Linked DNA regions of Bombyx mori. The protein of the gene in region 3 binds, or shares a complex with, the protein of the main gene of each other region. Links are inferred from orthologs where the notes say so. Each region holds a gene or a part of one and is shown on either strand. Other genes may lie near its edges.

Evidence for each region.
Region 1: serine/arginine repetitive matrix protein 1 (region 3) and U5 small nuclear ribonucleoprotein 40 kDa protein share a complex: the UniProt entries of both Homo sapiens proteins name them as parts of the minor spliceosome. The link is inferred for Bombyx mori from reciprocal best matches to the Homo sapiens genes SRRM1 and SNRNP40.
Region 2: serine/arginine repetitive matrix protein 1 (region 3) and cysteine-rich PDZ-binding protein share a complex: the UniProt entries of both Homo sapiens proteins name them as parts of the minor spliceosome. The link is inferred for Bombyx mori from reciprocal best matches to the Homo sapiens genes SRRM1 and CRIPT.
Region 4: serine/arginine repetitive matrix protein 1 (region 3) and E3 ubiquitin-protein ligase RNF113A share a complex: the UniProt entries of both Homo sapiens proteins name them as parts of the minor spliceosome. The link is inferred for Bombyx mori from reciprocal best matches to the Homo sapiens genes SRRM1 and RNF113A.
Region 5: serine/arginine repetitive matrix protein 1 (region 3) and small nuclear ribonucleoprotein Sm D3 share a complex: the UniProt entries of both Homo sapiens proteins name them as parts of the minor spliceosome. The link is inferred for Bombyx mori from reciprocal best matches to the Homo sapiens genes SRRM1 and SNRPD3.
Region 6: serine/arginine repetitive matrix protein 1 (region 3) and puff-specific protein Bx42 share a complex: the UniProt entries of both Homo sapiens proteins name them as parts of the minor spliceosome. The link is inferred for Bombyx mori from reciprocal best matches to the Homo sapiens genes SRRM1 and SNW1.
Region 7: serine/arginine repetitive matrix protein 1 (region 3) and protein CWC15 homolog share a complex: the UniProt entries of both Homo sapiens proteins name them as parts of the minor spliceosome. The link is inferred for Bombyx mori from reciprocal best matches to the Homo sapiens genes SRRM1 and CWC15.

What each region holds. Positions count from the first base shown.
Region 1 is NC_085109.1:1,115,028-1,119,030, forward strand, and holds the start of U5 small nuclear ribonucleoprotein 40 kDa protein, read left to right. Parts: upstream 1-1,203; 5' UTR 1,204-1,433; coding exon 1,434-1,550; intron 1,551-1,861; coding exon 1,862-1,988; intron 1,989-2,549; coding exon 2,550-2,753; intron 2,754-3,074; coding exon 3,075-3,317; exon of another isoform or gene 3,318-3,879; coding exon 3,880-4,003. UniProt on the Homo sapiens protein: Required for pre-mRNA splicing as component of the activated spliceosome. Component of the U5 small nuclear ribonucleoprotein (snRNP) complex and the U4/U6-U5 tri-snRNP complex, building blocks of the spliceosome.
Region 2 is NC_085130.1:5,681,330-5,685,299, forward strand, and holds cysteine-rich PDZ-binding protein, read right to left. Parts: upstream 2,731-3,970; 5' UTR 2,469-2,730; coding exon 2,296-2,468; intron 710-2,295; coding exon 580-709; 3' UTR 501-579; downstream 1-500. Other genes in the region: drebrin-like protein, read right to left, coding at 3,610-3,970. UniProt on the Homo sapiens protein: As a component of the minor spliceosome, involved in the splicing of U12-type introns in pre-mRNAs. Involved in the cytoskeletal anchoring of DLG4 in excitatory synapses.
Region 3 is NC_085128.1:8,261,578-8,265,077, reverse strand, and holds part of serine/arginine repetitive matrix protein 1, read right to left. Parts: intron 672-3,500; coding exon 479-671; intron 1-478. UniProt on the Homo sapiens protein: Part of pre- and post-splicing multiprotein mRNP complexes. As a component of the minor spliceosome, involved in the splicing of U12-type introns in pre-mRNAs. Involved in numerous pre-mRNA processing events.
Region 4 is NC_085108.1:7,585,938-7,590,018, forward strand, and holds the start of E3 ubiquitin-protein ligase RNF113A, read left to right. Parts: upstream 1-1,281; 5' UTR 1,282-1,531; coding exon 1,532-1,625; intron 1,626-2,895; coding exon 2,896-3,047; intron 3,048-3,598; coding exon 3,599-3,751; intron 3,752-4,081. UniProt on the Homo sapiens protein: Required for pre-mRNA splicing as component of the spliceosome. As a component of the minor spliceosome, involved in the splicing of U12-type introns in pre-mRNAs. E3 ubiquitin-protein ligase that catalyzes the transfer of ubiquitin onto target proteins.
Region 5 is NC_085122.1:328,611-332,627, forward strand, and holds small nuclear ribonucleoprotein Sm D3, read right to left. Parts: upstream 2,801-4,017; 5' UTR 2,613-2,800; coding exon 2,303-2,612; intron 1,192-2,302; coding exon 1,109-1,191; 3' UTR 183-1,108; downstream 1-182. UniProt on the Homo sapiens protein: Plays a role in pre-mRNA splicing as a core component of the spliceosomal U1, U2, U4 and U5 small nuclear ribonucleoproteins (snRNPs), the building blocks of the spliceosome.
Region 6 is NC_085130.1:3,035,501-3,039,000, reverse strand, and holds part of puff-specific protein Bx42, read right to left. Parts: intron 3,401-3,500; coding exon 3,256-3,400; intron 2,706-3,255; coding exon 2,572-2,705; intron 1,995-2,571; coding exon 1,853-1,994; intron 743-1,852; coding exon 646-742; intron 1-645. UniProt on the Homo sapiens protein: Involved in pre-mRNA splicing as component of the spliceosome. As a component of the minor spliceosome, involved in the splicing of U12-type introns in pre-mRNAs.
Region 7 is NC_085110.1:8,228,614-8,232,277, reverse strand, and holds the end of protein CWC15 homolog, read left to right. Parts: intron 1-194; coding exon 195-474; intron 475-690; coding exon 691-795; intron 796-2,815; coding exon 2,816-2,953; 3' UTR 2,954-3,164; downstream 3,165-3,664. UniProt on the Homo sapiens protein: Involved in pre-mRNA splicing as component of the spliceosome. Component of the PRP19-CDC5L complex that forms an integral part of the spliceosome and is required for activating pre-mRNA splicing.

The DNA.
Region 1 (4,003 bases), on a different chromosome or scaffold from region 3:
GCTCCGGTAACCACTTAACATCAGGTGGGCTGTGAGCTCGTCCACCAATCTAAGCAATAAAAAAAAAAAAATGCGTTCTCGTCTCTTTTAAAAGTTCATTACACAAACAAAGCGATCGGGGCTACACGTGAAAAAATTGTAACTTAAACAAATGATTTATAGCCGTCGTGACCTAAAGGATATGACGTTTGGTGCATTCGTATGTAGCGATGTAACGATGTTCGAATTGCGCAGGCAAGTGCCAATTTTTCTAATGAAATACGTACATATCAACTAAACTGACTTCCACGGTAAAGGAATAACATCGTGTAGTAAGAACAAAGCCCGCAAAATTATAATTTGCATAATTACTGATGGTAGGACGTCTTGTGAGTTTGCACGGATAGGTAGCACCACCCTGCCTATTTCTGCCATAAAGCAGTAATACGTTTCATTTCGAAGGCTGGGACAACCATTGAATTTTTGAGGAGGCAGTCTCCTCCCGGTGATGGTCACGGGGCCTCCCCCGGGCCAACTCCCTCACCTGAGGGGGTTGAGGCTGCGCCGCACGCTACCTACCATCACTCTAGCGCGCTGGCACAAGGAGGACGGGACAACACGTCAGCGACTACGGCCTGCAATGCGGTCCGCATTGTCGTCGTCACTATCGTCGCCGAACATACTGTGGAAGAGCAACGCGGTCGGAGGTGTATCGCGTTCTGACCCATCAGGCTGGTTTTGGCCAAGCAGAGTATCCCAGAACACCAGCGGCATCGCCCGGGCGGCCAGGTAGGGCCACCGTACCGCGGAGACCAGCGTCATTGGTCATCGACTACCGTCTCGACGACCCGTCGGTCAGGGGTCCTCGGAGGGGCGCCGCGTGTCTGGTTATAGTGTTGACCGCGGGAACCCCCCCTACATTGTCCGGATTCTGAGCCCGGACGGAGATCGGACGTTGGGTGTAAATGTGCAAGGGAGTCGTTTAGTGCGGTAGGGCCCTAAAACTCCTTGGGCCCGCGGTCTGCTCCCAAAACCTGCAGATCGTAAAGTTCCACATATCTCACGCCCTCTTAGGCGCGGGGACCTCTTAGAAGGATCGGCCCCGGGCCCGAAAAAAAACCATTGTACTTTAAAAACTGGGACATTAGAATTCAAATCTCAAGGTGCATGGCGGCATTTACATTGTAGATGACTATGGGCTCTAGTAAACACTTTAAGTTCTTCATTTTGAATGACTCATTATCTCATCTTCTCATCTGAATAGGTATACAAAAAAAAAACTTTTTAGAAGGTAGCTTTGTCTTTTGTTACAAAGAATTTGGCGATATTGGCTATTTTCCTTTTGCCTATACAATTGACAAATGAAACAAGCTAAACAGTCCTTATACCATTTTTAAGGTTAGTATTTCTGTTTGTAGCTATAAAAACAAATAGGTAAATAAACATCTTAAAAAATGCCAGATATAGAAACTAAAAGAAAAGCAGAGGATGTGTCTCTTGTACCCTCCAAGCGAGTACGGCATGAGATCTCAGTAGTCGGCACCAGAGAAAAGGCAGTTGTTACTTCATCTGTGAGTATTGTTTTCAATAAAGTTTACTTATTTTCTCAATAGTACGGTCTATAAAAGCTAAGAACTCTAACGCCACGGTGAAAGCATCAAGAGATCATAATTATAATTATTAGAAATGGAACATAACATCTAAAATAAACTTTTAGAAAAACACAATCTGTACTTAGGTAATCATGATTGATATTTGTTAAAATTTAAGGTAATACGAATTTTAGTCGGCTTTTACTTTAAGATTTATTTTTCAACATTTGTAGTGATCAACAAGATTCCAAGATTCCTGTGTTTTGTATTTTATATTCTTGTCGTTCTAGGTTCCACGAACATCAAACTTGTATGCGCCAATTATGTTGTTGGAAGGACACCAAGGAGAAATTTTCACAGGCAAATTTCATCCTGAAGGCAAACATTTGGCTTCTGCAGGCTTTGACAGACAAATATGTAAGTAACAAAATCATGACAAAGCTTTTGAATTGGCAAAGTGTTTCTAAAATTCACACTCTAATAATATACTACTATCAAAACGTTAATGAAGAATTGACACATTTGATAACACAAATTATAAGATTACAGTAGGTAGGTTTTAAATTTAATTGAAAAGAGTGAACAAGGTAAAATCTGACCTAGTGTATAAGTGATTATTGGAGACCATAGACATTATATTACAGCGTCTTAAATTTTCTCTGAAGTCCAAATCCATTTCAGTTTGATTTAATATGCATTATTAAGAATGACTGCCAGTACCAATATCCCAGGCATGGGCCACACTGTACTGGGGTTTTAGTGACACGAGCCCTATAATGTAGGGAACAATATGATACAATACTCAAAATGATAGCTGATATAAACTGTTTAGCTTAAGCCACCATTAATATAAAAAAATACAAAATAAATGTTTATACCATTGAAAATTTCCACCAATGTCAGGGTCATGTTGACAACTTATAAGCTGTACAAGTCCAACTTAGTAATATTATGATTTTTGATTTCTTATTTTCACAGTAATATGGAATGTGTATGGTCAATGCGAGAATGTGATGGTGATGAAAGGTCACACGGGAGCAATAATGCAGCTTTGCTTCTCACCTGATGGTTCACATTTGTACACTGGAGCTACGGACAATACTGTAGCAGTATGGGACGTACCCACCGGGACTAGAATCAAGAAGTTAAAGGGTCACGCTAACTTTGTGAACTCTGTTTCAGGTATGTTTCATAGTTTGAGTTTTGACACACAATGGTTTTCATGCTAGTGCTTTTTAGTAGTACAAATACACAACAGTAACTTAATTAAACATTACTTTGCACTCTCAGAGCCTTAAAGTGATTGGATCCAAATAAAGTGGGATTGACCTAAAATTGAAACTATAATCCGTAACCATGGTTTGAAACCAGATAACATCAATCTAAAATCTCAATGCCTGTGGATACAATAGAACTGTAAATTCATTCATGGCATCCATTAAAAAATTGGTTTAGACAACGTAACAATCTATTCTAACTTTCTCGTGTTATCTCTATATCCAGGAGCAAGAAGAGGTCCAGAACTCTTAGTTTCAGCTTCAGATGATAACACCATAAAATTATGGGATGCAAGGAAAAGGAATCCAGTTGCATCGTTTGACAGTTCATATCCAGTCACAAGTGTACTCTTCAATGATACAGCTGAAAAAATTTTATCCAGCGGTGTGGACAATGTCATCAAAATGTGGGATATAAGGAATAATCAGATTTCCTTGAAAATAAAAGGACATACAGACACGGTTACAGGTTGGTAATTCTTTATTGATTCTGATTAATTAGATTTTTATTAGGTGATAATACTGCAACCAGAAATTAAATTAAAATATTGATACAGTTTATCTAGAGTGGAGTGAGGGCAATATGATGACAGTAATGACTTCAGTCTATTAGTTAACTACTAAAATACTGATTACCATACAATGTATTTAACAAATATTGATCTTATGAGGAAATGAGAATGGATTGATTGGTATGCAGTACAGTAGTAGTAGTTGCATACATATGTATTTCTCTTTATAATCCCTGTTGTTACTTGTTGACGGGTGTATTGTAAACTTCTTCACCCATTCTGCCTTCGGTAGCCCAAACTGGTATTAGGTAATTTTAGAGAAATGTAACAGCTATTATTAGAATGTCTCTAGCCTTATAAGTAGTAATAATTCATGACTAAGACTACTTGTTTAGTTTACTTGTAGATCGTGAAGTCATCTACCCAGGTGCGGCAATAAATATGTGAATAGAAATCATATGAGTTTGATACATTTAATGACTGGCAATGTCTAACTTGTGTTGCAATACTCGTTTCCAGGATTATCATTGTCATGGGATGGTGCATATCTCCTGTCCAATTCAATGGATAATACACTCCGTATTTGGGACGTTAGACCGTTTGCACCAACAGAACGCTGTGTCAAATTAATGTCTGGCCACCA
Region 2 (3,970 bases), on a different chromosome or scaffold from region 3:
AAAAATATTTTGTCCAAATGCACAGATTGCCACCTTTGATAATAGACGACTCATATACACATATGTTTAAGTAATATCACCTTCACACTACACCTACCAAGGTTCATCTCTGCACCCCCCTAAGGTAGACTGTTAGAGAATGCCTATGGCATTAAGTCCTTTATACCGTTTAGTATATAAAGTTATAAATAAATAAATAAACATATATTCAGAATTATTCAGATTATTTAGAACATAGATAGGACAGATGACAACTTGTAACAATCATTATAATTTGTCATCATTCATGAGTGTTAGAATTATTCTCATTTCATTTTTGAAACCGATTTCTTGGATTCAAGTCTTGATTATCTGTAGTACCGCTAATTGTGGGTGTTCATAGGTTGGCATTACAATCCTATCTGTTTATTCCTCGAAGCAATCACACTTTACCATCCGTGAGGAAATTTCCAGTATCTTTATTATTATCTTAAAATAGTCCAAGGCATATAAAGCATTGCTTTACAAATACACTATATTTTTTCTTTTAGAACTTATTTAGGTAATGTTTCTTATGAACTAGGATAACATAACAATAAACTAAGTTGAGCTCTGTCTGTAATTCTTAGTGTCTAGAATCTTCTTTCCACACATGGCACATATACCCTTTTTGTATGCACAAGCTTGGCAGTAATGTGATCCGACCTGGTGTACTTTCGTTCTGCAGATTCTGAAAAATAAAAGAATATATTTTAAAAACTTTTAATACATTTTACTGGAGGTATGGTTAGACCTAATAGACGCCTTTGAAATGTGGAGCTGGAGAAAAACGTTACAGATTCCATGGAATGCCTTTCTCACCAACGTGACTATTCTGAGAGAGCTTAATATCATAACTAGTCTTTCCAATATATGCCTTCGTTGGGTGCTGGAATTCTTCGGACATATTGCCCGTAAAGAGGGTCACAATCTAGAACAGCTGATGCTGACAGGAAAGGAAGATGGCAAACGTCCAAGAGGATGCAGTACCACGAGATGGTCGGACTAAATACAATCTTCTCTGAACATCAACTTCCACAATGTCCTTCATGAAGCTAAGGATCGCAGCAGATGGAGGGAAATCGTACGGAAGAAACTGATGCAGCGGGGGAGTTCAGTAATGAGGAAAACGACACGAGGAGGTGGAGGTGGTATGGTGTAATGTACTGAAATAGGTTCCACAAACCTAGTTATTGCAACCATAAATTTGTCCCATTTTCAAAGGAGAGCCATTTTTAAATTCGAATAAATCTTCAACTGCATCTCTTCATATAAAAACAACGTACACATTACAATCATCTATGGCCCTATTAATCTACCCATGTAGTGTACTAAATAAATCACTCAAGAGAAGAAGGGATAATGAATATAAAAAACATCCTTCAAACAAGTAACAACTAACTTTTATTGTATTGTTATTTTACATATTGGTAACTAAAAGTCCAGCAGTATTTAGTGTGTTTGTCTGAAGCGTTCGGGATTAGGAAGTATTATTATGAATATATGAGGCAAAATTGGGGAAGTATTATTAAGAATGTATGAGTTAAAATTGGAGAAGTATTATTAAGAATGTATGAGTTAAAATTGGGGAAGTATTATTAAGAATGTATGAGGTAAAATTGGGGAAGTATTATTAAGAATGTATGAGGCAAAATTGGGGAAGTATTATTAAGAATGTATGAGGCAAAATTGGGGAAGTACTATTAAGAATGTATGAGTTAAAATTGGAGAAGTATTATTAAGAATGTATGAGTTAAAATTGGGGAAGTATTATTAAGAATGTATGAGGTAAAATTGGGGAAGTATTATTAAGAATGTATGAGGCAAAATTGGGGAAGTATTATTAAGAATGTATGAGGCAAAATTGGGGAAGTATTATTAAGAATGTATGAGGCAAAATTGGGGAAGTACTATTAAGAATGTATGAGTTAAAATTGGAGAAGTATTATTAAGAATGTATGAGTTAAAATTGGGGAAGTATTATTAAGAATGTATGAGGTAAAATTGGGGAAGTATTATTAAGAATGTATGAGGTAAAATTGGGGAAGTATTATTAAGAATGTATGAGGCAAAATTGGGGAAGTACTATTAAGAATGTATGAGTTAAAATTGGAGAAGTATTATTAAGAATGTATGAGTTAAAATTGGGGAAGTATTATTAAGAATGTATGAGTTAAAATTGGGGAAGTATTATTAAGAATGTATGAGGTAAAATTGGGGAAGTATTATTAAGAATGTATGAGGCAAAATTGGTTTTTAAACATCAGGATTACTCACTTGCACTGTTGAAATGTGGAAGTGTACGGATTAAATCGTCCTTTTTTGGCGGTTAATGCTTTGTTTTCTCCAACAACACGTCCGCCGGACTCCACGGTATTCCTAGCTCCAGCCTTCCAAGGGTCCGGCGTTATTACTCTGCCCAATTTCTTTTCGCACTTCTCACAAACCATTTTTGTTCTGTTTCTTACTAACCTAACGAGCTTGTATTAGTACGAAATTTTATTAAATTGTTGTTTTGACTGAATAATATGTAGGTTATATTAATTAAATATTACTTATCAAATATTAAAATATGCTCTGCTAGTGAACAGCTAGTTTTATTAAGAAATCATAGTTAATACACTTAATATTTGTTAGAAATAAAATTTATTTAAGTTGATGTTGTTACTAATAGTTTTCTTTTGAATTGTCATTTGGATAGGCAACAGGAATGAAGCCCATACAGTCAAAACTTGTACCGAAGTGCGGTTCCGTGTCTGTGGTATTAAAAGTGGAACTAAAACAATACATAATACAAATTGAATTGGTTCTGGAATTAAATTGAATAAAGAAAATGAAATTCAATGAATTAATATAAAAGACGGTCAGGACTTAGATGAGATGAAAATACCTTGCAATCAAATGGGTGGACAGTTGGTTTACTAAGACGGACTTATTCTTCCTATTTTCCACGGACTTTTTGGAAGGGCCCGTTATGCCACGGCCTATTTTTCACTAAGACTACGGTTAATATTTCAATGTACTTTTACGAATTCTAATCGATTAATATGTAAATTTTAAGCCTGAAGAGACATTAAATTAAAAAGTAACAGCTTGAGTGCCCGCCAAATAGTCCTTAATGTTTCGTGCTGTATTTTCTTCAAATTAAATAGTGTAACGTCGGTCTCATGCAAACAAGAACTGCTTGGCAGTCCAAATAGGTTCGAAGCCAACTCGTGCCACTTATAAATCGCATAGTCCTACACGACTTCTGTGCGCACCCTGACCCTTAAGTACTTTGTATATTGTTTTAGAAACCGTCAAGACAAAATCGAGATCATGGGGCTTAAGTTGAAGAAAAAAACAAAATAATCACGTTTTCCCTGTAGATAAAAAAAACATCAAATAAAACATCATATCCAATTGCAATATAAGTATTGAGCGATTTATTAACTCGTTTCTCGATAAACATTTCAATAGATTTTATTATTCAACACATTCAACTTTCATAGTTTATTTATCCGACGCCGAAAGCTAATCTATATTAGTGGCACGTTACTCTATCAAAAGCGTTGTAACGGAATGTTGCAAGAAATAAAAACATACGAATTGCTAACTCTGATGTTCCTCCGCCATTTTCGTTGGAGCATCACTTGGATTTGTGTCATTTGACTCTGGGTAATATTGTTCTTGTGGAGCCTCCGCTGTGTTCTCATAGCTTTGTTCGTAATTCTGCTCGGGTTGGTAGTTGACTTCGGCTATGTTGTTGTATTGTTCTTCGCTATATTGCGCGTTGGGGTCAGCATATTGCTGATATTGTTCATAATTTTCATATTGTTCGTTTGCGTAAGTCGGCTCCTCGTAATTATTTTGGTATTCAGGTTGGTATTGCATTTCTGTTGCTTCGTAATTTTGTTCCTGTCCAATGAAATTCGCATCCTCTTGATAAGTCTGTTCTTTATGCTCTACGTCC
Region 3 (3,500 bases):
TAAAACGGATCTAGTATCTATGTAGCCTACGGTAGATACGTTTTTTGTAGCTTAGATTAACAAGCTCATTATCCACCTCAGATTATTTTCCCCATGCCCCATCTTAGTCTGGAATGAGCTCCCCTTCAGAGTTTCCCGGGTGCTTATGACATATACATCAAATTATGATCGAAAGAAGTTAAGCGGCAAAGATTTTTTATTTTACCCCTGGCGTTGCTCATTTCCATGCAATATTAGGTGAGTAACCATCAGAGTTAACAGTAAATGCATCAAGTCTAGCCAGCTAGCTAGTGCAACAAAAATAAGTATGTAATCTCAATTTCTTCATTATTGATGGCCACTCTATGCTTCTATCAAATAAGCGAGAATGTTTGCAGCATAAATAAGCAATAATAGTATGAACTGACACCATATTTGTGTTGAGTTTTGATATTAATGTATGATTATAGTATATGAAATTTTTGACAGGTAAACTTACTTAGCAGGTGACACAGATCTAGATTTCTGACCTTCAACTTCAGATTTCTCTTCAACGTTCTGTGTTATGGTTGGTTCCTTGTTTTCATCATTGACAGGTTCATTGACAGTTGGAGAATTATTCTGAACTGGTTCTTCTTTAACCTCTTCTTCATTCTTTTCTGGTGACTTACCGTTCTCTGCTACACTTGGAGCTAAAATTATTATTATTTTAACATTAATTGAGTAGAATCACACAACAGTTGCAAGGCTGAATGTAAATGGGGAATGTTTATTAACGAAAAAAATTATTTTATGTCAGACATCAAACCACTAGTTGTTGTATACATCCTATAGTATAATTATTTTGTCCGTGCAGTTTGGGTCATAAAAAGTCGGAGCGGTGAAGCGAATATTTCGCTCTCTCTTCCACTCACGAGCCTTATGGACGGGCATAGTGATGCGCATTATTGTTGTCTATAAGCGTTATCGATAGTGTATTTAGTTTTGTCATTTTGTGGGTTAGTGACAAAAATGAAAGAAAAAATCACTAATCGAACACTTACACCACATATCCGAGCAGCAAGTTAACGAACACGGCAGAAATTAACACTTTGTAACTTTTCGGGATCTATTCTTATTTCAGTGAAAATCTTTAACACATTGTTGATAACAACACGTTCATATATTATTTTGAATAAATTCTGCCGTTTTGATACAAAACAAAGGAGTAGCCATTGTGTCATTCAAGAAATTCCGAGAACGAATGCATAAAAAACACATTTCTCTTCGACATAATGTACTATAATTTTCAGGTAAGTACAAATGACTCTTAACATAACCATGTCTCACCACCCTTCGTATACCACCCCGCCGCCGTGTACCTGCCTTCGATGACTCATTTGCTTTTATCGATAATGGCGTTGCGCCGCGCTACATGCTCACCGCCCTAGCCGGGCTATGTTTTATAACCCAAACTGCACGGACAAAATAATTCTACTAGTGTCTATTCCTTGCCATTATTAAAAGCTTAAGGTGAAAACTACTCGTAACAAGGATGGGGGTATACAGTAAAACTTTTTAGCGACCCACTGCAAGCAATATCATAAAATGATTGTCGCGAATCACGTTTTCGTTTAATGAGATTTCACTATTTATTAACTGTATAAATGGGTTAATAAAACGTATACCAGAGTTCGTAGACATCAGAACGTGAATGCCACCACTTACTCTGAGACATAAGGGTAAGTTGGGGTAAGGTGGGGGTTGGTGCTTCCCGCTTCCGTAGGTTTAACCCGCGATTCCCTACAAGTGACCCCTGGGTGGTGCTAAACGGGAGCCGAAAACATAACCGGTGGTAGGACCTAGTCCGACTGGCTGGCGACCACCCTCCAACTAGAGTCCGCCGCCAAATAGCCTAGCTGTGTTCCGGCGTGTGGGTTGGAGAGCCAGTTCTATCCCTTCCTTTTCCCCTTCCTTGTTGGGGGTGAGTCTTGGTGACGCCTGGAACTTGCGGAGCAGACGTGCGTGCGAACTCGCGGGGCGTGATTGTTTGACGGGGGTATAGGGAGACCCAGTGAAACGGTACCCGCTGCCGCCCGCCGGTCAGTAGGGGACCTGAACCCGGGTGTCTCTACTAAACTCCGCCCCGGGAAGCTGTCCCGCCAACCGGTGTAAAATCCTGTCGTGCGGTCGTCGTGCCGGAGTCGGAGACCGGAGTGGATCCCGGCGATCGCACGCAGAGTGGACTGGGGGCCCTTCCATGCCCTGCGTCAGTCTCTCACGCAATCCGTGGTCGAGCACGTACTATGTTCCGCGCTTCATTCAGGTGTTGCCTCGATCTCACCTCCAACATCCTACCTCTCCTAATCCTACTCTCCGAAAATTTTACAACTATGAAGTCGCCAAAAAAAAAGAAAAGGGTTTCACAGGCGGTTCCCCATTCCACATTTAATGTGGATTTCAGCAATGTCAGGGGCCTACATAGCAACCTTGACGCCGTACACCACCACCTTGAGACGGCGCAGCCTGCCCTGCTTTTTTTAACGGAGACGCAGATATCTGCTCCGGATGATACCTCATACCTTGAGTATCCCGGCTACGTATTGGAGCACAACTTCCTGCGTAAAGCCGGGGTATGCGTATTCGTCCGGGCTGATGTCTGTTGTCGCCGTCTTCGGGGCCTCGAACAACGGGACCTGTCCCTCTTGTGGCTGCGCGTAGATCACGGGGGCCGTAGCCGAATCTACGCGTGCCTGTACAGGTCCCACAGCAGTGATGCAGGTTCAGCTCTGTTTGAGCATGTGCAAGAGGGGACTAACCGCGTGCTTGAGCAGTACCCATCTGCGGAGGTGGTGGTTCTTGGAGACTTTAACGTTCACCACCAAGAGTGGTTGGGGTCCAGAACCACTGACCTCCCGGGTCGGACTGCCTACGATTTCGCCTTGGCCTACGGCTTCTCCCAGCTGGTGACACAGCCCACCCGTGTCCCAGATATCGAGGGGCACGAGCCTTCTTTGTTGGACCTTCTGCTGACCACAGATCCGGCCGGATACAGTGTGGTGGTCGACGCTCCACTTGGATCGTCTGATCACTGCCTTATTCGTGCTGCCGTACCACTCTCTCGTCCTGATCGTCGAACGACGACCGGGTATCGAAGAGTTTGGCGGTATATGTCAGCAGATTGGGATGGATTGCGTGAATTTTACGCATCCTACCCATGGGAGCGGTTCTGCTTTTCCTCTGCTGATCCTGACGTCTGTGCGGACCGACTTAAAGACGTGGTGCTCCAGGGGATGGAATTGTTTATTCCCTCCTCTGAAGTGCCCGTTGGGGGTCGCAGCAGACCCTGGTATAACAATGCCAGCAGGGATGCTGCACACCTCAAGCGGTCCGCATACGTGGCATGGGATAATGCCAGGAGACGTCGGGATCCTAACATCTCAGGGGAAAGGCGGAAATATAACGCCGCTTCCAGGTCCTACAAGAAGGTAATTGCCAAGGCGAAGTCGGAGCACGTTGCTAGAGTTGGCGAGCGATTGAAG
Region 4 (4,081 bases), on a different chromosome or scaffold from region 3:
CTCTTATCATACTACATAATTAGTGATCATTCTTAAATGTTTTTTGTGGCAGCCATTAATGGTGTATACAAAATAATTTATCTATGCGAGCACACAATACCTATACACAATTATTATTTTTACAGTTTGCATTTTATTACACGATGTCATTCTTTTATTGTGTTTCATAAATGTGCACTTCTCATAACGGTCATCTAAGAAATACAAAACGGGGCCGCGTTGCAGAATACGGCAATATTAAGCCTGACAAGTGACAAGCAATCAGTGAGCGCTGTAACCTGTGACGTTTTAATACAAGGATCGATAAAACTAGACTGAGTTTTTTGTGCATTCCTTAAAATATCAAGTCGTCGTGCCCTAAAGGATAAATCGTCCGGTGCATTCGTGTTGAGCGATGCACCGGTGTTCGAATCCCGCAGGCGGGTACCAATTTTTCTAATGAAATACGTACTCAACAAATGTTCACGATTGTCTTCCACGGGGAAGGAATAACATCGTGTATTAAAAATCAAACCCACAAAATTATAATTTGCGTAATCACTGGTGGTAGAACCTCTCGTGAGTCCGCAAGGGCAGATACCACCACCCTGCCTATTTCCGCCGTGAAGCAGTAATGCGTTTCGGTTCGAAGCGTGGGGTAGCCGTTGTAACTATACTGAGACCTTAGAACTTATATCTCAAGATGGGTGGCGCATTTACGTTGTAGATGTCTATGGGCTCCAGTAACCACTGAACATCAGGTGCGCTGTGAGCTCGTCCATCCATCTAAGCAATAAAAAAAAAATTACACCCTAAACCTTTTAGCATTCAATATTTCCAGTTTGTATGGTAAATTATGATTCCACTTCCACTTTATTTCAAGGCAGCTAATGACTTTATTAATTTATCTATTTATTATTACTATAAAAGAGACATGAACATCGTGATAAGAATAGTGTTTATTATGTCCATTACAATGTTTGAGTTTTAACTCTGGTTTCAACTTTTAACAGTAGTAGTAGAAAGGGCTTAAGTGTGAAAAAAAAAAGAATTCCTCAATGTGGCTGTGTGGCTGCTCGGGTCCCTTCCAAATTGCCTAGAAGCCTCAATAAGTCTCCGCTAATTTACTGACAGGCTATTTTATTTCATCTTATACAACATGTACGGCTTTCTCTTATTTAACCTTATTATTCCATATGCTAATTTAAGTTTTGATTTAACTTCAGGCATTGCTATAAATGTTTAAGCTATGTTGTATGGGCAGTATTCCCTCCATTCAATAGACAAATCATAGTTTAAAAAAACAACTATCCGTCAAAATCAATCACATGTCAATGTTAAAAATGAGCATTATTTTGATCATTGCCAATATTATCATGTTGTGAAATGCAAAAATTAATTAAAAACCCTATAAATACCGACAATACTTGAAGGTCCTAAAGTGAAATACAGTACTTTTATTTAGTATTATTGTGTCCTCATTAATGATTATGTAGATATTACTCTAATATCGTAGTAAGCACACACTAGGTTGAATAAACAATCGTTCAAAATGTCAGACGCCGAAGTGGAAGTACTCAGTACTTTTAAAAAACGTAATATTAAGAATAGGGGTGGCAGAAAACGTAAAACTTCCAGTTCAGAAGGTAATATTGATCGTTAAGTTATTAAATTATTCTCCAAACGAAAGACATCTAAGAATAGTACATTAAAACTATCTCATCGCTTCTTCATATCCTCTTTCTCACTGTTCCCAGACCCCCGTATTATAAGTGCTTTTATTAAGTGTATAACTACTAACTATAAAATTATAATTATATGTAGCGCATTATTCTCTGTACATAATCTTTATTATAATATGTAAGTTTGTAGTAACATTAATTTTGTGTTAGTCCCAGGCACCATTAATATAGCCAAAATTGGATACTTTTTATAATATAAAGTGTGTTTAAATAGCTCGACAATGTTCCATATGTAGCCATAACACGACACTGGCAGAAATTGCTGGCAGAAACTATCGGCAGATTACCATTATAAAAAAAATATATCGACGCTTGAAAGGCAAAAGTGACTAAGCGACAATAACTGCTTTGCACATAAATGATAGGCAATAACCATATTCGATCCGCAAAAAATATATATTTCTAGGTCTATTAAAATTATTTCAATCCTACAGCTACTAGCTAGTTTCTACTACAACTGGATTCGTTAAAATAAATTTTGTTTTCATGTATTTCAACTTTAAATTAGTCTACCGTAAAGTTCACGCATTGTCGCTTAGTCACGTTTGCCTTTCAAGTGTCGATATATATTTTATCATATGAGGCCGTCAGCGCAAAAGCAGCCTAAGCGTACTATAGTTATTATGGAGCAATGAGGCTTTAGTTTTCATGAATTTGAATTTGAGTTGGCAAAAAAAACAATATGCGCTAAAATAATGATTACAAAGCCATCTGCTTTCTATGGGTGAAACTATGGATAGGCCGGTTTTGCATAAAAATTTATTATATATTAAATAAATTGCAATATACATGATTATAAGCATGAAAAATTGTGGGTTAGGCCACTTTTGCGCTGACAGCCTCATATATACTTGATATTTTTTTTTTTTATAAATATAAATATTTACTAACAATCACTCCACGTTAACTGGTCCCGTGCTAAGTTCGTAAAGAACTTGTGTTACAAGTACCAGATAACGGAAATAAATATAATATTTTTATTATACACATATATATATATATATATATATATATTTAATATACACCCATAACCCTGGAAAGACATTTATATTTATCATACAAATATCTTCCCTTGGCGGGATTCGAACCTGCGACCCCCTTGTGTAGTGACCATGTCACTTACCACTACACCAGACGGCTGCTTAATATATAATTTAATATAGTAACGTTTCAGAGAAAAACAGCTCGGACTCTGATGAGCAACAAGTAGTTCTACCAACGAAAAGGGTGAACAAACCAAATCCAAACATACAGTCTACAGGAGGTCCGAAGAAATCCAAAATTGATGTAATTGAAGATAATGATGATAGTAATGATGAAGAAAAGGTATAGTAACATTAACAGCTCATCATCATCATCAACTCACTTGGATATCATCAGATTTGATAATCTGATCTATAATGAGATCTGCACCTTTGAAGCACCAGATATAAGATATCATAAACAGGCTGTTGGTCCATCTTGTAGAAGGCCTACCCACACTTCAAATCTTCACATACTTCATACATATTTAGATATATAATAGCCACTTGAGAACTTTTGGTTCCAACAGCCTGCTTGCTGCCATTTCAGCCTTTCGGGTTGTCTTTTTTTATTCCTTAAGTTCTTAAGTGGTTACAGGAGCCCATAGACATCTACAAAGTAAATGCCGCCATGCATCTTGAGATATTTGTTAGTGTCTCAGTTATATCTCCACTGAAATCAATATTATCAACAATTAGAGCAGTTTATCTTTACTTAAATCTGGCACACATCTTTTTATCTCTTTAATCTTTTTACACGTCATCTTTATGTTGAAGTCTTGTCTTCTGTATTGAACATAAAAAAAAACCGTTTTAAGATCCATTTAGATCAACATAAGCTTACAATTCTTTCAGACTTCTCAAAGGACAACACTATCGGTTCAACAACAGAGAGAGAATGCAACAGCTACCTATGAATTAGACACAGAAAAGGATAGAGATGCCCAAGCCATCTTTGAGAAGGCTCAGAAGATCAATGAAGAGTTGCACGGACAAGCAGATGATAAGGTATCCATTTCTTCTTCTTCTTCTTCTTCTTTGTCGTTTCCTCATTACTGAGGATCGTGACCACCTTGGTCCAGTTTTTGCACCAGCTTCCTCCAATGTTGCCTGAGGGAGAATGCGGGAGGGACAGCGTAACCGCTCTAATGTTAAAGAGCCTAGGCTCGGATGGTACCAAGATTTTACACTCCATTTGCCAGAAAATATGGCGTACTGGCCAGTGGCCTGAAGACTGGACGGAATCAATGTTAATTCCTCTCCATAAAAAAGGCTCCACGCGCAAATGTGAGAACTACAGGTATCCATTTAACAGTATTGAAATCGCACACTTCGTGG
Region 5 (4,017 bases), on a different chromosome or scaffold from region 3:
CTGAGGTGCTGATGTGCAGTGTGAGCTTGTATGGTTAGACACCACTGTCCTGTGCGTCTGTACAGTGAAGCCGTCATGACTTCTATTATTATACTATCTCAGAAGCAGTAGTGGCCAGTGGAATTTGACTAATAATAATTATAGTTAGTTGACACTGCGTGTCTCATAAATAAAAACACTAGTTATTATCCAAATTGTTTTTTATTTGTTTTCAATCTTTTGATATTCACACCCACAACGACACATCCTATCACATATCTGCTGACAGTCTCAGTAAACTTGTTACACTGTTTGTAACTAATCTAAATTCGAACATAAAACATTCAAATTAAAAATATTTTGCATAAGAGGTTGTCGTGTCCTAAAGGATAAGATGCCGAGTTACACACATTTAACAAACATGCATGATTGTTGCAGGTTTTATGCTGCGAAGCATTCCAATTTGCCCATTAAGACAGCATTTATCCCAAACAGTACAACTGGGACTTTGATCTCAAACCTCATGGTAGGTGCAGGCCTTCATAAAGTCTATAGGCTCCAGTTACAGTGCAAAAAAATTCAAAATTATATGGATAAAACATTGTCAAAACTCGGCCATTGGTTAAGTTTGGTTTGTACAAGGCAGTTTATAATAACTTTTTATATTTAATTACAATAGTCACCCCCGCATAAACCACACATAGATATTTCCTCAAGCCAAAACAAGATTGAACTATTACCCATCATATGGACAAGATTTCTAGATTATTGGGACTGATATAAGGATAGAACATAGAGATTAAACATTGTATTGATTGGGAGTCACAATAAGTCACCATAGGGTAGCATCAGTGTGTAGTGTCTATTTGATCAAATGGTCCATGAGACCTAAGATGTGTAAAGCAGATTGAAGGGTGACCAAAATAAAAAAACAGAAAATCTGGAACAGGACCTTATTGTTACATTTGAGAACATAATAATAATCTTTGAACAAACAGTTGTTCTATTTCCAAAATTTGTATTTTTCTCACTTAGATATATCAATATATAAGAATGATAATGAAATAATTCCTTGACAATTGAAATATAAGACAAGTACAACTTAAGCTATCTAAAAAATATCTTAACGCTAGCGTCGAGATGGTCCTGACCCACCTTGCCAGCCTCCACGGTGGCCCCCACCTCTTCCACCTGCTCGTCCTCGACCAGCAGCTGAAAATTTCAAAGATTTGTATTTTACTTCTTGATTCCTCTAGATGTGTGAGTAAGCTTACAACCCACTTGATTAATGATTTACTGTGGCCCACAAACATCAAAATAAGGATGCTGGTTGGCATGATACTTGAGATGAGTATGAAGAGATACATATATTTGATCGCTCAAATGTATTGTAGTTACTGTCCAGCCCGTCAAATCAATTCACATTCCTGTTTAGCAACAGAAATTTGCCGTAATTATTTAAATACACAAGAATGGGTTTTCACAAATGTAATAGATACAGTTATTAGTTTGCATAACATTATGTAAAATAGGTTTTACTTTAGATGTGTGAGATTGTGTGCATTAGGTACTTGACATGGTCTCATCATTCACATATTTTCTTTAACCACCCAAAGTAAAATTGTCAATAACATATAGTTGAATGATTAGAAACAATTAACATTGGAACAAAATACTGATTTGATATTACAAAACTTAAAATTGCAAATTTGACATTGTATGTCTATATAAGCACTCAAGAATGAAAAATTGTAAAATATTCTCAATTACTATTAAAAAACTGTGACAAAAAATATCTATACAGGATATAAACAAACAAGACATTTAAAAAATCAAAGCTTCAAACTACCTATTTTTTGCTCATTTGACCCAATTGATCACTATGTATTCAATGCATTTGTACTAATTTTAATGAAGGCTATTTATTGATTGTAATTAAATGTGCTTATCTTTCATACTTGCATACGTTTTCTACTTAGAAATTTTCGTTTAATAATTTGGTTATATAGTGCAGTAATTGTTAAATAGACTTCACTCAAGTCTAATTTATAACAAGCCTAAAGAAATGGGTTGTTCTAAGCTAAAGATGTTTATTCTTTTTTAAGTCTTTGAATTAAACGAAATTAAGAACAATGCATATTCACAATTTCAGTGCTAGATGTAATTAGACTGCAAGTCAGACAGCACTCATTCATATATTAACACTCGTATGTTGTCTTGTTGATAATGAACACAATCACTACGTATGTGATGCGAGAGAACATTTAGGATACCTAGCTCGATAAACAAATCACATACACACTATTTTTATATTGTTCAATACCTTGGGCTCGCAGTATCGCACTCTTCCCTCGTCCTGCAGTAGGTTTATTCCCTTGTCTTTTGAACATTGGCGCGTTCTTCAACATGTCCGGTAATATTAAAAATCTGATCTTGGAACCACGGATGTACACATTCTCGAGCTGTGCAACTCGGCCATCTCTGTATGTGACTGTTACGAGAGTCATTTGGCAATTCATATTATCCTCAGCTTCAATTAATTTCCCTCTATAAACTTCACCGGTATTTGTTTCACAAGTCACTACATGACCTTCCGCCTCGTGAAGTACTTTAATAGGCACACCGATAGACATGTTTACGTTTTAGTTAAGAAAAACGTACGATAAAGGACAATAATTCAGTATTATTTCTTAGATTATTTACGATAAAAATGGGAAAGAATATTTCAAAAAAATTAGACGCTTCAAATCCATAGACATCTAATGTAATATGGCGGCGAGTTCCGTGCATAGACAATAGACATTTTTATTCATTCATTGACAGACAAAGACAACATAACCCATATTACCAAAAATCCATTATGATTTTTAATTCCCTTAGCATTGTGAAAATCAACTTTACTGGTGGTAGGAATGGTAGGATGTCTGCGAGTCCACAGAGGCAGACAACACTACCCTACCTATTCCTGCCGTAAAGTAGTACTACCTTTCGGTTTGAAAATGCAAGAGCATCGCAGGGTATAACTATTGAGATTTTGCAAAAAGTTAAATGTAATCTTAGTTAATTCCAACCATTTTTCTAAATAAATTACATTTCACTGTACATAGCCTAATAGACCTAGTTTCATTTGTAAAAAAAGCTAGGTGCTTAGGCTTTATGCTTGGGGTAGCAAGGGGGCGTGTAAATAGCCCTCCTGCGGCGGGAGCATATAAAGCGGGGTTGTAGAAAGGCGTGTAAATAGCCGTCCTAAGCGGTATGTGACAAATGTTTGTCACTTATAATTAGCGGAGCGGTAAAACTATATAGCGGTAAACAAAAGCTAGTAATCAAACTAAAGATATAAATTAAATACACATAAGCGAGCGGGCGGGCGAATGATTACACGAAGCAGCAATAAAATGGCAATAAATTAAAAGAACTTGCACTCACCTGTAGATCTTGCCAGTGACTGTCGTGCGGGCGTCGGCGATGGAAGCACGCGGGCGGCGGGAGGGGGTGACGAAGCTCACGTAGCTTTTCGTAAGCTCAAGCACCACACAATATACAAGTGCCGCCATCTAGGCAGCTAGCGGTAAAGCGTGATCGATCGGGTAGAACCACGCTTTGGGTAGTCGCGGTAATTAGTTACTGACAAACTCCAAAGGTGGCGCCATCCCAATAATTCATTAGCATCCCATTACTAAATCCGCGTGACCATCCTGCCCGCCTTGAAAGTTCGCAGGACTTTCAACAAATATATAAAGATACTAAGATAGGAAGCATAAAGCTTAAATAGCGGGAAGTTATTTGAAAAGAAACAAATTTTAATTAATAATAAGCCATCATGAATGTTTACGAGTAGAGTTGAAGCGGTTGATGACATGCGGTACTCTAATTTATTCTAGCGGTAGCGGATATAATTTTACAACTGGACGTTTAAGAAATCCAGATTTCGTTTTTACCAAAGCAACGCGTATAATGTTATCGGCACCTGGATACACCTCTTGTATAACTCCAAGTGGCCAGCGGAGCGGTGGAATGTCATCTTGATGAATAAGA
Region 6 (3,500 bases), on a different chromosome or scaffold from region 3:
GCTGTGAGCTCGTCCACATATTTAAGCAATAAAAAAAAAAATTAAAAAAAACAGCTATGAAAAATAAGCTACAGCATTGAGAAAATTAATTTAAAAACAACTCTGGTAGTTTGTGTGTGTCAGCGTTGGTAAGAGGGATTGGATTTATACTGAAGCAATACTGTAATTCATCGTTTCCCAAAGTGTGCGATAACGCCCCCTCGTGGGCGCTGTAGTAGTTTTTCTCGCTTTAGTAGTTTTTAAAGTAGGTGAAAAAATAGGGGCGCTATAAAATAATTTATTCTCAAAGAGGACAGTGGACAAAAAAAAGTTTGGTAGCCACTGCTGTAATTATAAAGTTTGTTGATATTTTTATTAAATCATCGTTGATCACTAATGCTTATCTAGGATTTAAGTGATTATCTTACTGAGATCTCATGGTCTACTGCACAGGAAAAATAGGCAGGACATTGCTATCTACTCATAGGAGATTACAGCAAACCAATGTCCCAATGCCTTCATCATCAAAAACAATAGTAGACATGTCCCGACTTCAACATATTGAGACTGTTCTTCACCCATATAAAAACATCAGGCACGGTAACCATTATAAACCCTTTTCCTAATTCAATCACAACTGTTCATATTAAGCCCATGGGAACTCACGGATTCGTCTCTGCTTGGAGCATCCTTCTCAAACTGCACCGGTCCAGAGCGGGTGTTGGAGCTGCTGGTGCCGGCGAACTCTTTGTCCGCCACGAATCTGTCAACAAACATGACATCTCATATCATATGCCACTGACACTACACAATGTCCATCTCAAACATCTATGTAATACAACAGATTTGCCAGTTTTAATTTTTTTATTGGATTATCGGTCTATCCGGTGTTATATCAATAAAAAAAATTTAATAAAAATCACGCCACGTTAACTGGTCCCGTGCTAAGTTCGTAAAGAGCTTGTGCTACAGGTACCAGATAACGGAAATAAATGTAAGATTTTTATTATACACGTACATATATTTAATATACATCCATAACCCTGGAAAAGACATTTATATTTATCATACAAATATCTTCCCTTGGCGGGATTCGAACCCGCGACCGCCTTGTGTAGTGACCATGTCACTTACCACTACACCAAACGGCCGTTAAATATCAATAGACATTGGAATGCACAATGTTTCACTGCAGAACTGGGTAAGATTGTATGCAGCTGCCTTGTCTATAGACAAGGCATCCTAAAATCAGTCCCATTCGCGGGGAGAGCAGGAATCATTTGAAAATAATAATGGAGAAGGCACTGCTATCAAGACATACATGGTTGTCTGAGTACTAAAAATATAGAGTAATAAAGTAGGAGTAATAAAAAAACCATCCTAACTGAAATGATAAGATTGTTTTAGCTTTTTAAATAAATATTTTAAACGCAGTCTGATTTTATATTTCATTTAAATTAGTTTTTTTCCTACGTTTTTGATTATTATTATATTTTAATCTCACAACTGAGACAAATAACACTTCGCATTTTAGAATCCGTTCAGGGCCGGATTTAGGTGAGAGCAACCGGGGCCCCCACAATAGACTTTGGAAAAAAAATCTTTCCAATTCCGACAAGTAAACACTAGTAAATCTTTTCTTCTCCTTCGACATTGCTTTTTTCGTTGTTTTACTTGACGTTAACACTAAAATTTTGGGGCTAGGGAGGCCTCCGCTCCTCCTAAGCCCTGAGGCCTCCAGAACTCTAAATCCGACCCAAAATCCGTAAAAAGGCTTGTGGCGCATGCCAACCAAGCACATATACCCACACATATTCAGTGCACACAATTTTCGGGAATATTAAATTAAGAGTTTCCCTGCGGTCAGGGTCACCTGCGCGTGTTGGCGACGGCCTCGAGGTCCCCGTAGGAGTCCCGGTCGGCGTGCCGGCTGGGCCTGTAGATGTGCGCCCCGACGTTGTCCTGGTTCCGCCACGGCTTGTCGTACACGTTGTACGCGTCGTCCTCTCCGTAACCTTGTTTAAATAAATTTAAGGTTGAATTTCGTGTGGCAAAAAGTATACCCGTTACTATGTTTTTTTTTCATGTTCACCAGGTGAGCCGTGAGAACGTTCACTAGTTCATAAGTAATAAATAAAAAAACATGCGTATTTGATATGACTTTTTTTGTCCCAGATGAGTAGGAGTGGTCCAACTAGATGCCGACCATCGACCTTGAGACATGAGGTCGATGTCTCAATAGCATTGCGTCTGTCCTAACCTTTAAACAGGCATGCATGACTGCTTTACTGATTCCACCGTCCACGTTACGATCACCCATCTAAGCAATATAAAAAGAAGAAAAAAAAAGGGTTGTGTTGAGATGATGGTTAATAGAGGAGAATGGAATAGAATAAAAATTTTTTTATTGCTCTTGTAGGCAGACGAGCATACGGCCCACCTGATGGTGAGTGGTTACCGTCGCCCATGGAGGTCAGCAATGCCAGGGGCAGAGCCAAGCCGCTGCCTACCGAACATTCGCTACGCCGACCCCACCTGGGGGGATGTGGTGGAGACAAAGAAGAAGACAAACTGTGAGGCCTCTAGCCTTACCGCTGTCAATTCCCTTGCTGTTGTTGAAGAGTCGCTGGTCGAACATGGCCTCGCCGCCCTGGTTGGTCTTGGCCGGCAGCCCCAGCGCGATCTGCTCCGAGATGTCGCGTTCCCGCTCTTTCGCGAATTTGGACCTGGAATTAACGATATATAATAGTTTAAAAAAAAAACTAACAAAATACGCGTTTATAGAAAATCCAACCAAAAAAATAGAAAATAAATTTTAATAAATTTCAATTAAAAATAGAGTAAGAAAAAAATATTTTATTATAAAAAAAAAGAATCTTAAGATTTTTTTAAATTATGCATAAAATATACATTAAATGAATAAAAAAATATGACACCACCATACCATGTATTTGACACACACAGGCATGCATACTATTTGTTTATTGTCAAACTTTTATTGCTTATAATCTGTGGTCAAATTGAGAACAGATTAAATATTGTTTGTATTTATTAATATTTGTCTATAGTGTAGTCTTGGCGAAATCTGTGATTATAGTATAATAAATAGTCTTTGATAATAGAACCTTAATAATATTCAAACTTAAATTAATTATAGTCGAATTTCGACTACTGCGGGACCACTAGTTCCTATAACGAGACAAGCTGTCCCGATCTACAATACTAAATCAATCTCAATTACTCATATACGAGAACTATGAAGAAAAACACACTCACCTTTTGTCCGGTGCTGCTCGAGCCATGTTTCTTTCGCGTTGCCTCTCTTTGTGCCTCTCAGCCCTCAGCTTGTCCCTCTCCGCCACACTGAGACCGCTCTCATCTATCTCGGGCTGTTCCACATCCTCTTCTGGTGCCCGAATACCTAATTAATATATAGGTAATATTATGTTCCAAGGATTCTTGTAATTGCTTATCAACTTTTAAATAGTCTTACCATCATCACTAGATATTATGTGATGATT
Region 7 (3,664 bases), on a different chromosome or scaffold from region 3:
CCCGCGTGGTGGTAAGTGCTTAACGGACCTCATAAAAAGCCATCTTGAGACAAGGTAGAGTACTTGAATTATTGTTTTAGAAAATACGCTACCCTTCAAAACCACAATGTATAACTCGTTCAAAGCATAAATACCACGTTTGTAATGCACCAAAATGTAAAGAAAAAGTCAAATATTAAAATCTATTTTAATAGGGAATCAGGTCAAGGGACATCTGAGGAATTACGCTCTCGTGATTTTCGTAAGGAGTTGGATGATAGAGAAAAAGATGTTAAAACTACGACTACAAAACGTACAAGTGAACCACAAGCAAAAAGAACTAAGGTTGATCAAGTTCCTGCAGCAAGTCTTGATGCTGATGATCCTCTTGAAGGCGATTCCACTGACTCTGATGATTCAGATGATGATACTGCTGCATTGCTAGCAGAATTAAACAGAATTAAGAAGGAAAGGGCCATTGAACAAGCTAAAAAAGTAAGATATATCTTAGATACTAGAGTTAGATACTATACTATAAGACTATTTTTGTACTGATGTACACAAAGTATGTTTAAATTAAATTTTACAATATATATTTTTTTTAATTTGTCTAACTTTAGTGTACTTTAGTGTATTTTGATACCCAAACTAAATAAAATTCAAATAACAAATAAACCTTGTTGCACAAATCAATTTTGTTTTACCTTATAGGAAGCTGAAAAGAAACAAGAAGAGGAAAGAATTAGAATGGAGAACATATTATCGGGTAATCCTTTACTCAACTACTCCGCTGCAGGACAGAAGAATGACATGAAGGTAATTAAAAACATTAAAATGAATTTTGTTTTAACTCCTGATAACTGTTTGGTGATTGAACTGAACTGCAGATGTCATTGATGTTGTATTTATCAATGTTGAAGTAATTGTGCCCTAAAAGATAAAGACTCCCGGTGCATTTGTATAAAGCTATGTGACTGTGCCGGTGCTCTCATCCTGCAGACAGGTACCAATGGTAATGAAATATATACTTAACGTAAATTGACAAATGATTTCCATCATGAACAAATAGTGTTTAATAAAGATCGAACCCACCAAAATTATAATTTGCTTAATGAATGGCAGTAGAATGGGGTAGTAATGTGTTTTCGTTTGGTATAAAATCTGATATTTAGAACTCATGTCTCATAGTGGGTGACAACATTTAAGATGTCGATTTCTATGGGCCATGAACTTAATTCACCCATCAAAGGAATAAAAAAAGTGTAGATGACCTTTAGTTTCTGCAGTGGGTAGGTATTCATTTGTTGTAGTACAAGTTCTTCATTCTGGCTAGTCAGTTTCATGATACTACATTATTAAATTACACATTGACCAGGATTATCTTGATAAATAATTTAAATGCATCTTTTAATTGGCATTTGTTGTTTTGCTGGTGTTTTGTTTTTGTTATTTTGTTATTCCATAGTAACAATACTATCTGTGTTTTACTTTTTTTATGGCATATTTATGTGTTTGTATGTTTATGTATGTGTTGTATGTTTCTGTTCTGGTACACTATGGTACTTTTCAAATCTGTTTCAAGATATTATTTTTCATTCTTCCAAGTATGTCTAGCATTGTCTTTTTGGTGTTAAGTGGTTATAAACTTGGGTCTCACTTAGATTATAATTATTCAGAGCTTTTGTTGTGTATTGGTATTTTAGATATCCTTGCCATATGATAATAATATGATGTGTATTGAAACATGTGCAAATAATATTCAATCAGTATCTGTTTTGATATCTCATTGGTGAAGTATACTGACAACTACCAGATAACCCTTTTATACCAGGTTGGCCATAAGTTTGTTCACCTATCTATGCTATAAAAATAACTATTAAAACGTATTGTTGCTATTGTTTTCGGTTTACTTGTATTTGAATCAATATCATTGATACTCCACAGGGAATACTTTAATAATGCACAAAAAAATTATTTTTCCTTTCATTATGCATATGTAGCGGCAGATATTGAGGATTCAAGACTATTAAATAATTTCATTTAGACTTTGGTTGATTCATTATTTTACATTTTCGGTTCTATAAACACTGGTTGCTGTTTTGACACCACAGGGACTGTGATTTTGTACACCCACTAATAAATACCATACAAAAATGCAAAAGTAATTGAAAGTGATTTTAAGAACATTAACATAATCTGCTCAAGCATTGGATGAATCCGGTATTGGAACGCCCAGAGGCACCACTCAGCACAACTCGTCATTAGGCCTCTACATGATATCATTAGAGAGAGACTGACTGAGTTATGAGAGTCACAACCTTCATCTATGAGGGTCGATTAAGAAGAATTTAAGAAGTCGTCGTGGCCTAAAGGATAACTCATTCGGTGCATTCATGTTGAGCGATGCACCGGTGTTCGAATCCCAGGCGGGTACCAATTTTTCTAATGAAATACGTACTCAATAAATATTCTCGATTGACTTCCACGGTGAAGGAATAACATCGTGTAATAAAAATCAAACCTGCAAATTTTAATTTGCGTAACGACTTGTGGTAGGATCTCTTGTGAGTACGCGCGGGTAGGTACCATCCCCTAGCCTATTTCTGCCGTGAAGCAGTAATGCATTCCGGTTTGAAGGGCGGGGCAGCCGTTGTAACTATACTTGAGACCTGAGAACTTATATCTCAAGGTGGGTGGCGCATTTACGTCGTAGATGTCTATGGGCTGCAATAACAACTTAACACCAGGTGGGCTGTGAGCTCGTACACCCATTTATGCAAATAAAAAAAAAGGACAATCGTAATATTATATCTATATTTTTTTTGGGTTGTTCCAGGTAAAAAGAAGATGGGATGATGACGTTGTTTTCAAAAATTGCGCTCGTTCTGAACCGGAAAAGAAACCTAATACTTTTATAAATGACTCATTAAGATCAGAGTTCCATAAGAAATTTATGGAAAAGTACGTGAAATAGTAAATCATTATTGATATTGTAATTCTAAATTTAAAGTTGTTAAAAGCGATTCTATACCTTATTGTAAGCGGAATAGTGATAACGAAGTGGAAATGCTACTATGGATATTACAAACACGTAAAGAAAAGATTGACGAAAACCAATATAATTTTAGTAAATATTATGAAAAAAATGTCATTTTGTTGTTTTGAATAAATTATATGAAAACAAATAGTATTTTATAAAGTTTATTTTCAAGTTAATGTCACGTTACTGATAAAAAGTAATGTTTGTTTCCTCAACAACAGATAGAGGTCAGTTCATTAGCATAATGTGTCTAATTTACTCATATAACAACGAACATTGCTTTCGGGTTCGAAATTTGAGACTCAACTTCTGAGTTTCAGTGGTAAAAATCTTGGTAGTTGGGGTATCCAAACTAAATTAGGGAAGGTATTAAAGAGATTAATTTACAAAAAATTCAAACTTACTGCCCCGATTTGATAATCAATACGCCACCCGTTAAAGTACATAACTGCATTGTTAATGGTAGTAATAAATAATTATTAAATTAACTTATTAACATTCGGAGTTCGGACTGACCAGACTGACGTGTCCGGCGAAGTTGAATGTTTTTATTATTGCGGCGTTGTGAGTGAGGCGTGAGAGGGGAGGCAGTGGTAAGTGCGGAGCAGGCGGCGGCGGCCTACCTTGAGTGGGCAGGTCCACAGC